Linked DNA regions of Caenorhabditis elegans. The protein of the gene in region 2 purifies or fractionates together with the protein of the main gene of each other region. This does not show direct contact. Each region holds a gene or a part of one and is shown on either strand. Other genes may lie near its edges.

Region 1 (4,927 bases), on a different chromosome or scaffold from region 2:
TGCTCTACCGAACGAGTAAATTTTCTTGCGGCCATTTTTCATATGCATCGCAAAATCCAAATTTGGGTTAGTTTTCGAGATAGCAGCCAATACAGGTTTTTAGACTGATTATCATGAACCAAGCCATCTAGTTTCTGTGCTACCGTGTGAAGTGTGGTAAGGCATGCAATTGCGCTCTAACGAGAAACTAGGGCCCATAAGACGGAATTGATAGCTCTCACGTGGTGCCAGACTGTCCCATTATGGTTTGTTTTTTTTTTATCAACAAAAAATGCGGGAATTTTTTTTGCACAAAAAATGAGACTTCAGCAAGTTCTTAACCATGCGAAATCAGTTGAAAACCTTGCGTCTCTTCTCCCGCATTTTTTGTAGATCAAAGTAGATCAAGCCGAAATGAGACACTCTGACACCACGTGAGTTCAACGTGAATAGCTAGTTTTGGGAAACACAAAAACGTTTTTCCAAAACTACAGTAATCCTACAGTACTTTATTTCCAGGTTGAACAATCCGCCTTCTGCCCGGCCCACATCGTCCCAGGAATCGAGTTCTCGCCAGACAAGATGCTCCAAGGACGTATCTTCTCGTACACCGACACTCATTTCCACCGCCTTGGACCAAACTACATCCAGCTTCCAGTCAACTGCCCGTACCGCTCCCGTGCTCATAACACCCAGCGTGATGGTGCAATGGCTTATGACAATCAGCAACATGCTCCAAACTTCTTCCCGAACAGCTTCAACTATGGAAAGACTCGTCCGGATGTCAAGGATACCACATTCCCAGCCACTGGAGATGTTGATCGTTATGAAAGTGGAGATGACAACAACTATGATCAACCCCGTCAATTCTGGGAGAAGGTGTTGGATACCGGGGCTCGGGAGAGAATGTGCCAGAACTTTGCAGGGCCGCTCGGGGAATGTCATGATTTCATTATTAAGGGAATGATCGATCACTTTTCAAAGGTTCATCCAGATTTTGGAGCTCGTGTCAAGGCACTCATCCAGAAACAGGCTCGCTCTCATATCTAAACTTTCTTGAAATTAAAAGAAATTAAATGTACTTTTTATTGTAATAACTTGCTTTATTGTGTATAAAAAATATGATAATTAAAAATAAATAAAGTTAATATAACTTAAACTCTCCACCAACTCACAGCGGATGTAAAGCTCTAAACTTATCAGCAAGCCTCTGGCCCAACAGCGAGTCATGCTTCAGGGTCTCCCTCTCCACCAGCAGCTCAGGCGTCAAAGCCCAATTCTTGGGATCCTTGCTCAGAATGCAAGACTGTATCAGTGTCTGAACGAAAAGGTCCCGCTGGGCATGAGATCCTCCGATTTGGACAACTTTATCGCGAATTGGGTACATAGTCTCGGCAGCTGTGTCGTAGTCGCAGCGGGCAAAGTCAAGCATCCCGTCGTAGAGGGGCATCCCGATGGTCTTGCTGATTTGGGCATTGTCCTCGGATAGCAGCCTGAAAAATGATAGTTTGATATGTGGTAAGTTTGACCTAGGAGCTGATTATCACATCTAATTCCACATATCCTAACACCTTTCGATACAACGTTTTTAAATTTTCGCCAATCACGGTTTGATCTACAAAAAATGCGGGAAATTTTCCCTAAAAAATGTGACGTCAGCAGGTTCTTTATCATGCGAAATCAGCAAAGACGTCTGCGTCTAAATTCCCGCAATTCTCGTAGATCTACGTAAATCAAATCGAAATGGGACAGCTCGACACCACATGCCTACCAAGTACATACAACATGTCAAAATCTTTCATAGATTTGTAGCTTCTCTCTTTTCGGATAAGGCGAACTGGATAGTGTTACTCACGATGAATACTTCTCCAATGAATTTCTCAACTTCTTCTCCGTCTCCAAATCCTCCTGTCTATAAATTGCAAGCCCTAGGTGCACATCATTGAACACAATTGAGTGATTGTCGATGAACTTCGACAGATGCTCTATCTTCCTCCACCGATCCCTTCCAACATTGACACCTTCCAGTTCTAACCTCCACAGCAGTGAGCTGGCATCAACCATGTCTAGCAAGGAGTTGGTTTTGTTGAATCGATTCGCAATTTCTCGATCAAAAATCCCCAGCGCTGACTCATATTCTGCGTACTCAATGTGAAATAGTGCCGTGTGCCAGTAGTTGTGAGAGGCTAGCATCCAACCTTGCTGAAAGGGGAAGTATATTTACAATTAATTGAATAGATTGAAAAGTACCCTCCAATCATCCTCCGTTTTGTACATAAACTCTTTTCCCTCTTTGTGCCGCCCGTTCATCTCGAGGACGTGAGCCTTTGCGTGGGAAGCCCAGCAATCAAATCGGTTCAGTTGTAGGGCCCGATCTGCTTGTGTTTCAGCATCATCGTAGATACCACATTCTTCAAGGCCAAAAGCATACATGCCATGGAGATAGCTAAAGAAAAAAAATGTTGGGGATAGAAGCCGGTTTCGAAGCATGTAGATATAAAACCTATTTAGTTATTTTTGTTTTAATTTTCATATTTAGTTGTGAATAGGCCTGAACCTAGCTTGAACTCCTAGACCTTATGAACCATAACCTCTTTTATTTAGATGGATTCAAATCCCACTCTAGACGCATTGGTTTTTTGAAATTCGGAAAATCTGAACGCAGCGCTTACTAGGACAGTTTTCTTGTTGTAGATGGCGCTATTTTAAAATGAAACCAATTTTAGAGACTAAAATATTTCGAAAATAGAAACAATTAAATCTCACCTATAGCATGGTAAATCTGCATTCCACTTGTGGATAACCTTCTCAATTGCGTTCTTCTTCCCTATCTGATTTCCATTGAAGAAATGAGCATCGTGTGAGAACTTCACTGCAATTAAATCTGTTGGGTAATCATCTAGAAGCTTGTCCCACTCGATGGCAGCTTCATGATGCTTTCTGAAAAACAGGAAAGTTTCAAAAAAATATCTCCTAAAGGAGCCCTTACCCTCTTCCCCACAAAATCGCTGCTTTGGCATGTCGCTTTTCTCTGGCGTTTCCATACTTTTCAGCGTCAATTTCTAGTTGATCCATTTTCTTGGCAAATTCGACATTTCGAGCAGCGGCTTCTGTGCCGAGCCCGGAGAGGCCCACTAGGAAAGTTCGGGCCATAACTGAAAATTCAGAGACTCCAAGTGCTAAACAAAAAACAAACTAACTTGCTTCAGGATCCGAAGCCACAAGCTTCTCGATCGATGTATGAAATCCGCCTAAACTGGTGCAATCCGACCAGGACACAAGCTGTCGAATGCAGGCATCCAACCATTTCGCATTCTCATCACTCGTAGTTGATAGTTCCAGACCAGCCGACTTCCAGCCTTCGCAATTGCGCAAATGATCGGCACACCATTCGGCCATTTTCTGAAGGAAGAGAGGAGGAATGGGCGGTAGGTCTAATGAACGATATGACGGGGTTAGATGATGCAAGTGGGGGAGGGAGGACTTGATAGGAAAGTTTAGAATTTTCGGATTTTTTTTGCATTGAAAAAGCACGATATTCTACTGTTGACATAGAGTTGCTCCGTTCGAAACTAAATTCATAATAAAATCGGCACGGAAAACAACATATCCTACGCGCAAGTTTCGCTAGGTAGGAAATTTCAAAATTTTCGGTAATTTCCAAAAATGGCTCTACATTATTCAGTTCTGATTTTAGACTTTATTTTTACATGAAAAAGTAAAAAAATAAACATTAAAGAACTGTGATCACCAGTTTTCTAGTTTTTCGCGATTTTTGATATACTGTAGCAATTTTGAAGTACCCAAAGTTAGTAGACAATCACAGTTGTTGAGAAAAAAAATTGTGACCTTATGAGAAATAAAATGGAGTATAACTTCAATCATAGCTTTTTAACATAAAAATTAGTAAAATTTGCACTTTAGATTTTCTAAAAAATTCCAAATTTTTACGATTTTTAATCTAAAGACCACGTTATCAACGGCCAAAAATGCGAAAAAACCATATAAAATTCTCGAAAAAAAACCTCTCAAAAACCTCTTAAAACTGCCAAATCTAAAAAAAGGAAAAGTGAAAACAAGAAAAGAAGGGTCAACAATTAGAGAGTATGCAGTCTAGAAGAGAGTGCCAGACGACTAGACGACAAACAGATATAGCACGTGCGTCTTCATTGGGACAAAAACAACATACATGCAAAATGGAAAGAAATAGGTAAGCTTGTGTGTCCAGGACATTTGTGATACTGATGTTGATAACACCTGGAAAATACGTGAAAGTTTTGACGATTAGTTGGGGTTTGATAAAAAAATTGAAAAAAACGGTTTTAGAATCAAACAATCAATTCGGGAAAAAGGGCATTTTTCAGGGTTATACAGGAAACAATAGCTTAGCAGACGACACTTTACGGGTCAAAATGAGTGTTATGATTTAACTGATATTAAAAAAAAAGCACCCGACATCTTCCCAGGACACTTTACAGGTCAAAACGGCATCAGCAGCGGACTGTTCCCGGGTTGATGGGAAGTGTATAATATAGAGCATGTATCCACCGACATTATATTTGGATAACTAGCAGCCGACACCTAACTGGTTTTTACATTGCGGCTGACATTTCCCGGGTTCCTGGGAAAAATATCCCATTTTCAGTGATACATCAGCCGACATCTCGCTGGCCAAAATTTATTTATAAAGTCTAAGAAAAGTTGAGTATAACTAAGCCAGCAGTGACTAATTTTTAGAGAGTGCCTAGAAGTTCACAGGTTTTATAAAAGCAACCGACGTCTCCAGGGTCGTTAAAAGCAGCACAATACAACTGTGATGCCAGTCGAAATTTCCCCGTAAAATGTCGGCTGCGAAATTGTGTTATTTAAAACTCATCCGTCTTGTATGTCTCATATCGCAGCCGATATCTCCCGGATTATGAAAAAATCGCGTGTTCTGAACTTTGAC
Region 2 (4,556 bases):
CACGAAAAATTTGAGTTTAATGCAAAAGGCTGTGCGCCTTTAAAGAGTACTGTAATCCCAAACCTACGTTGCTGCAGATTTTTTTAAAAATCGATGTGATTTGCTAAAATTAATGTGTTCTTATTATTATCATTGAGAGATTTTTTAATGAATACAAGTACAATTAATTTTTCCCAAAATACTATGAAAAATCGATAAAAATTAAGTTTTTTATTAAGAAGAGTTTGAATTTCCAGTATTTTCTGAAATAAAAAATTGTATTTTTAATCTTTTTAATCAAAAATTGTATTCTTTAATCTTTAATCCTTTTAATCCCATGACCTGGTATTCTTGGCGAAAAAATTACAACATTTTGTGTCTGGGTAATATCCAGTCGTGAATTCGTGAATTAATTCGCCAAATCTGAAGACTCCACTTCAAAAGAACATTTTTCTCTCGATAGGTCTCGCCACGATCCATTTTGTTGGCGACAGGCGCGACTGCTCTTTCTTAAATGAAAATTGAGATATTTGTTCGCTAGAATGTGATTTTTTAACAGAACATACAAATATATGGTTTTCGTGGCGAGACCAATTTAAAGTAGCACGCGCCTTTAAAACGACTACAATCAACCTGAATACTACATAAAATTGTTTCAGACACTGCAATAAAAAAGCTTTTTCTGATAAATTTTGTGACGTCTGACATTGAAAAGTAGAATAAACTGTGTTTTTTTTCAAAACTTGAAACCAACAATCAACAATCGCCACGTTCCCTTGCAAACCACATAAATTTTAGCAAAGAACCTTGAGAAAAGTTATCGAGGTCAGCATGAATGGTGAATACAAAGAGAATTTCGAGATTTACCGAAAGATACTCGGAGCGGTATCCAGCAGAAGAAGAAAAGAGAGAATCCTTTTTAGATTGGTCAATTGTTGAAAAATTCTGAAATGCACTGGAGTATCTTGAAAATGGAGTCATGGGAAACATGCTATTTAATAACACCAGTCGATTTATTTATGAATGACTGTAATTTGAATAAAAAAAACTAAGGATACAATAATGGAGCAGAAAGGAAACACTCAAGACAATAAAACATTTTACACGATGATATAGAACATGCCAAGTTACAGAATGAAGCTATAATCTATTGAAAGCTAGGAAAAAAATTATTTACAGGAACGAGAATATGGAGACGATCTGGTTTTGCTGCCATCGGCTCCTCTGCGAGTAGTTGGTCTCGTCTGGATAGGCGACATTTGTGCTTTCTCGAGAGACTCCTACAATTTTAAATTTTTTGTTTATATGTAAAAAACTAATAAACTAACAGTTATATCATCCACCGGAGAAGTCTCGTTTCCTCCTTGATCGTTGACAGATTCAGTAGTGGCCTGACTAAGACTTGTGTCACTGTCCTCCGAATTAAACGATTTATACAGCACATTCACTGGATTGAATCCATGCCTATCGGAAACTTTGTCCAGGTGTCGCTTGAGAGTCAACTCTGCTTCGTATGAATCGGACATCAACATGCTCCAGCATTCCATGTTTGCAGCGTGGCATCCTGGGCGCAAGTGACCAATGGTTGCCGATTGGATATCATCAGGAAGTGTGTAAAAAGTGGAAGAATCTTCGAAGCCATCAATGCGGAAATTGGATGGAGCATCGTTTGTGTACTCCAATCGAAAATTAGCCGTGAATTCTTCTGGCAACGGTTCGAGAACTTTTGTGCAGAGGAACTGAACACTGCGAACAATCGTCACCATTTGATCTCGTACGCTGTCGCCACCCTCGTATACAAGTTGAGCAAGCTTTGCGAAGTGAGGATCTTCCTGGCCATTCTTGTCAGTGCTCAGACGAGCAACCACGCCGCCATTCTCAAAATAAATGAACTTCATAGAGAAAACTTCGATGGCTTCAAGATCTCCTTCATTATTTGTGATCACGAGGGAGACTTCTTTCAGAAACCCATCCTTTGTTGCATCCCCAGCATTTCGAAGTAGTTGAGCGATTTGGTTAGACCGTGGGTTTCTGAAGCACAGCGTCATGCATTTCAGCTTTTCTGAAAAAGAACATTTACTATAAAATGTGATAAGAAAAACATTTACCAGTGATGTAATTCTTCGTGAAATATTCTTGTCCAAGAATGTTACGGTTCCTAAGAACAGCCGAAAACGCGACGTAGATTGCTCTGGTCATGAAATTGGATGATCGATCCGGGTCGCTGACAATCCTTGGGAAAAGTTTGGACCATTTCTAAAGATGAAAAAAATTACAATGGCCATAAAACCATGAAAAAAACCTTATCATCAATGGAATCCGCCGATTTGTTGAGCGATTCGTCGTAGATGGTTTCCAAGGGCGCCATCTGCAAAAAAACAGTCTCATTTTTAGGCAAGAGTTTGTAAATGTGAAATATAATATAATTCCTCGAGGAATACTATGCAAAGAAAGAAAAAACCCAATGACAAGCTTAAAATGATACACTAAAAAACGAAAAATTATTTTCGAAACTAGGAAACGATATTTGAATTTTAAAAAACACAGAAAATCGTCAATTTCGAAAGCCTAGGAAAGAATTTTAGGATTTCAAAAATGCAAATAAAATGCTAAATTAAAGGTACATCGGATTGGGTAAGTCCATTGGTCTCGCCACGCAATTACAAAAGCTCAAAACTATTCAAATAATTTTTGACTAAATGCAGCTTTTCCTTTTATTTTAAAGTAAATTTTTCATTCATTTCAAAACTGTCAACAAATTTGATTACTAGAGGTAATTTTAAAAAGTACTATTCTTTAAAAATACGCAAATGCAAGTGAAATTCGCTAACTCGTGGTGAGGCCTAAATTTAGTTTACTGACTGCTCCTTTGATTACTGTAACTTGTTTGCTATTTTTAAAACGGTCTGAATTCTCATTTTTGGACGAGTTTGCCTAAATTTTCTCCTTTCAAGCTCAAAAAACGTTTATCATTGTTTTCAGATGCCAAACTATCGAGGACGTCATCAAACGAGACAGAATTGGAGTTCTAAGCCAAGAGAAGAGCACTCCCCGAGGTATTTGAATAAAAAATGTCATTTTTTCGAGTACTTTCTTTTCAGCAAAGGCGCATACAGGGACAAAATCTGGAGCGGTCCAGTCAGTGAGGTCGCCAGGCAACAAACGTATGAAACTAATTTTTAAATGTTCCTAATTTACTTATTCTTCAGGGTGTACGACTGGGTGACTACAGGTGCTTATTCCCTTGGATCGCCAGACTCGTGGCCATCTTATCCGGACGAAATCATAGTGAGTGCTGTAGTACACCGAAAAAAAGTTAATTTTTCTTGTTTTAGCTGATGAACGAGTCCCGAAATGCTCAGACATCCCGCATGTCGCGTCGGTCGGCTACTCCCGGTCCAGTGAGTTTATTTTCTTCATATTTTCGTTATGAGACAAACCTTGGTTTCAGAGATTGTCACAAGATAGAAGGACAAGAACTACAGCACCCGCCGTTGCGCCGATTCCGTTTCAGAGGGCACAGCCTCGAGTAGAAGTGGAGAGACAAAGAATCGACGAGCCTGTCGCACAGGACCTGATTATCGATGATGGGGTACCAGAAAGTTTCATTGAACATTAGCTGTAATGTATTTTTGTAGAACGGTACCAACAATTCGAACGATTCGAGTATTTGTGGCTTTGTGGAGGAATCCGAGGAACTCGTATATCCACAGTGAGTATCTAAATCAATTAATTAACTGAAATTTATCATTCCAGGTGGGTTTACTATCTGTACCCATTGATTCCTACCGCGCCTAACTGCAACAACGAGAAGTCGTACAAAGAAGGTGGCAATTGGTACAACTCTCCATGAATGATCTCCCTCTCCAGCTTCTCTCAATCTGTCATATTTCTTATGCCTGAGTTGCTCCTCATTTTAAGAATGTATCATTCTCATATTATCTGTCATATTCTCACTCCCATCATGCCCGTAATCAAACCCCCGTCATTCATTTTTCTCTGTACCGGTTAAGAAGTTCTAACATTGTATTTTCCATGATTCTAAGTCAGGAGCTTTTTCCCCATTATTAATCCATAATACGATCGAAGGTTATTTACCATCGATGATTGGAAGGTTGAATTAATTTCACATTGTTTTCTATGAAACGTTCATCCGATCCTCATTGACCATTCGATCCTTTGTTATATTTTCCCATTTTTACTGTACCCATCACCTCATACGCATCCTTTTAGGCTAGAAGTCTGCATTAGCAGAATAACTTTTGAGCTTTCACCGAATGTCTGTCCCATGTCTGCTCTCTCTTTTCCTTTTTGTTTTTGTTTTCCTCTGGTCAATGTTTCAATTCCTTCTGGTTTTTTTGAATCACAATAAACATTCTCCAGAAAATTGTCTCGATTCTCACTTGTTGTGTTGAAAAATATTCACGGAAATCGTTCGGGCAGTAGGTTAGAATGCGGAATTCAAAATCCTGGAATAAAAAATAGTTATGAATCTGTTACATGTGATCTTTGTTGTATCACTGATCACTATTCCCGTGTTCCTAGCTTCTTCACATGCTTCATCATTCTTTGAGCTC

The links.
Region 1: the proteins of htp-1 (region 2) and Y54G11A.7 fractionate together in Caenorhabditis elegans (co-fractionation; one large-scale study listed by BioGRID). This does not show direct contact.

What each region holds. Positions count from the first base shown.
Region 1 is NC_003280.10:14,295,759-14,300,685, reverse strand, and holds Y54G11A.7 (Tetratricopeptide repeat protein 38), read right to left. Parts: upstream 3,382-4,927; 5' UTR 3,379-3,381; coding exon 3,180-3,378; intron 3,135-3,179; coding exon 2,969-3,134; intron 2,920-2,968; coding exon 2,746-2,919; intron 2,426-2,745; coding exon 2,230-2,425; intron 2,182-2,229; coding exon 1,835-2,181; intron 1,473-1,834; coding exon 1,151-1,472; 3' UTR 1,065-1,150; downstream 1-1,064. Other genes in the region: ctl-2 (Peroxisomal catalase 1), read left to right, coding at 499-1,029.
Region 2 is NC_003282.8:5,389,211-5,393,766, forward strand, and holds htp-1 (HORMA domain-containing protein), read right to left. Parts: upstream 2,348-4,556; coding exon 2,282-2,347; intron 2,236-2,281; coding exon 2,088-2,235; intron 2,042-2,087; coding exon 1,308-2,041; intron 1,260-1,307; coding exon 1,149-1,259; 3' UTR 979-1,148; downstream 1-978. Other genes in the region: ZK616.5 (uncharacterized protein), read left to right, coding at 2,962-3,035, 3,081-3,143, 3,189-3,267, 3,315-3,380, 3,431-3,571, 3,618-3,691, 3,736-3,832.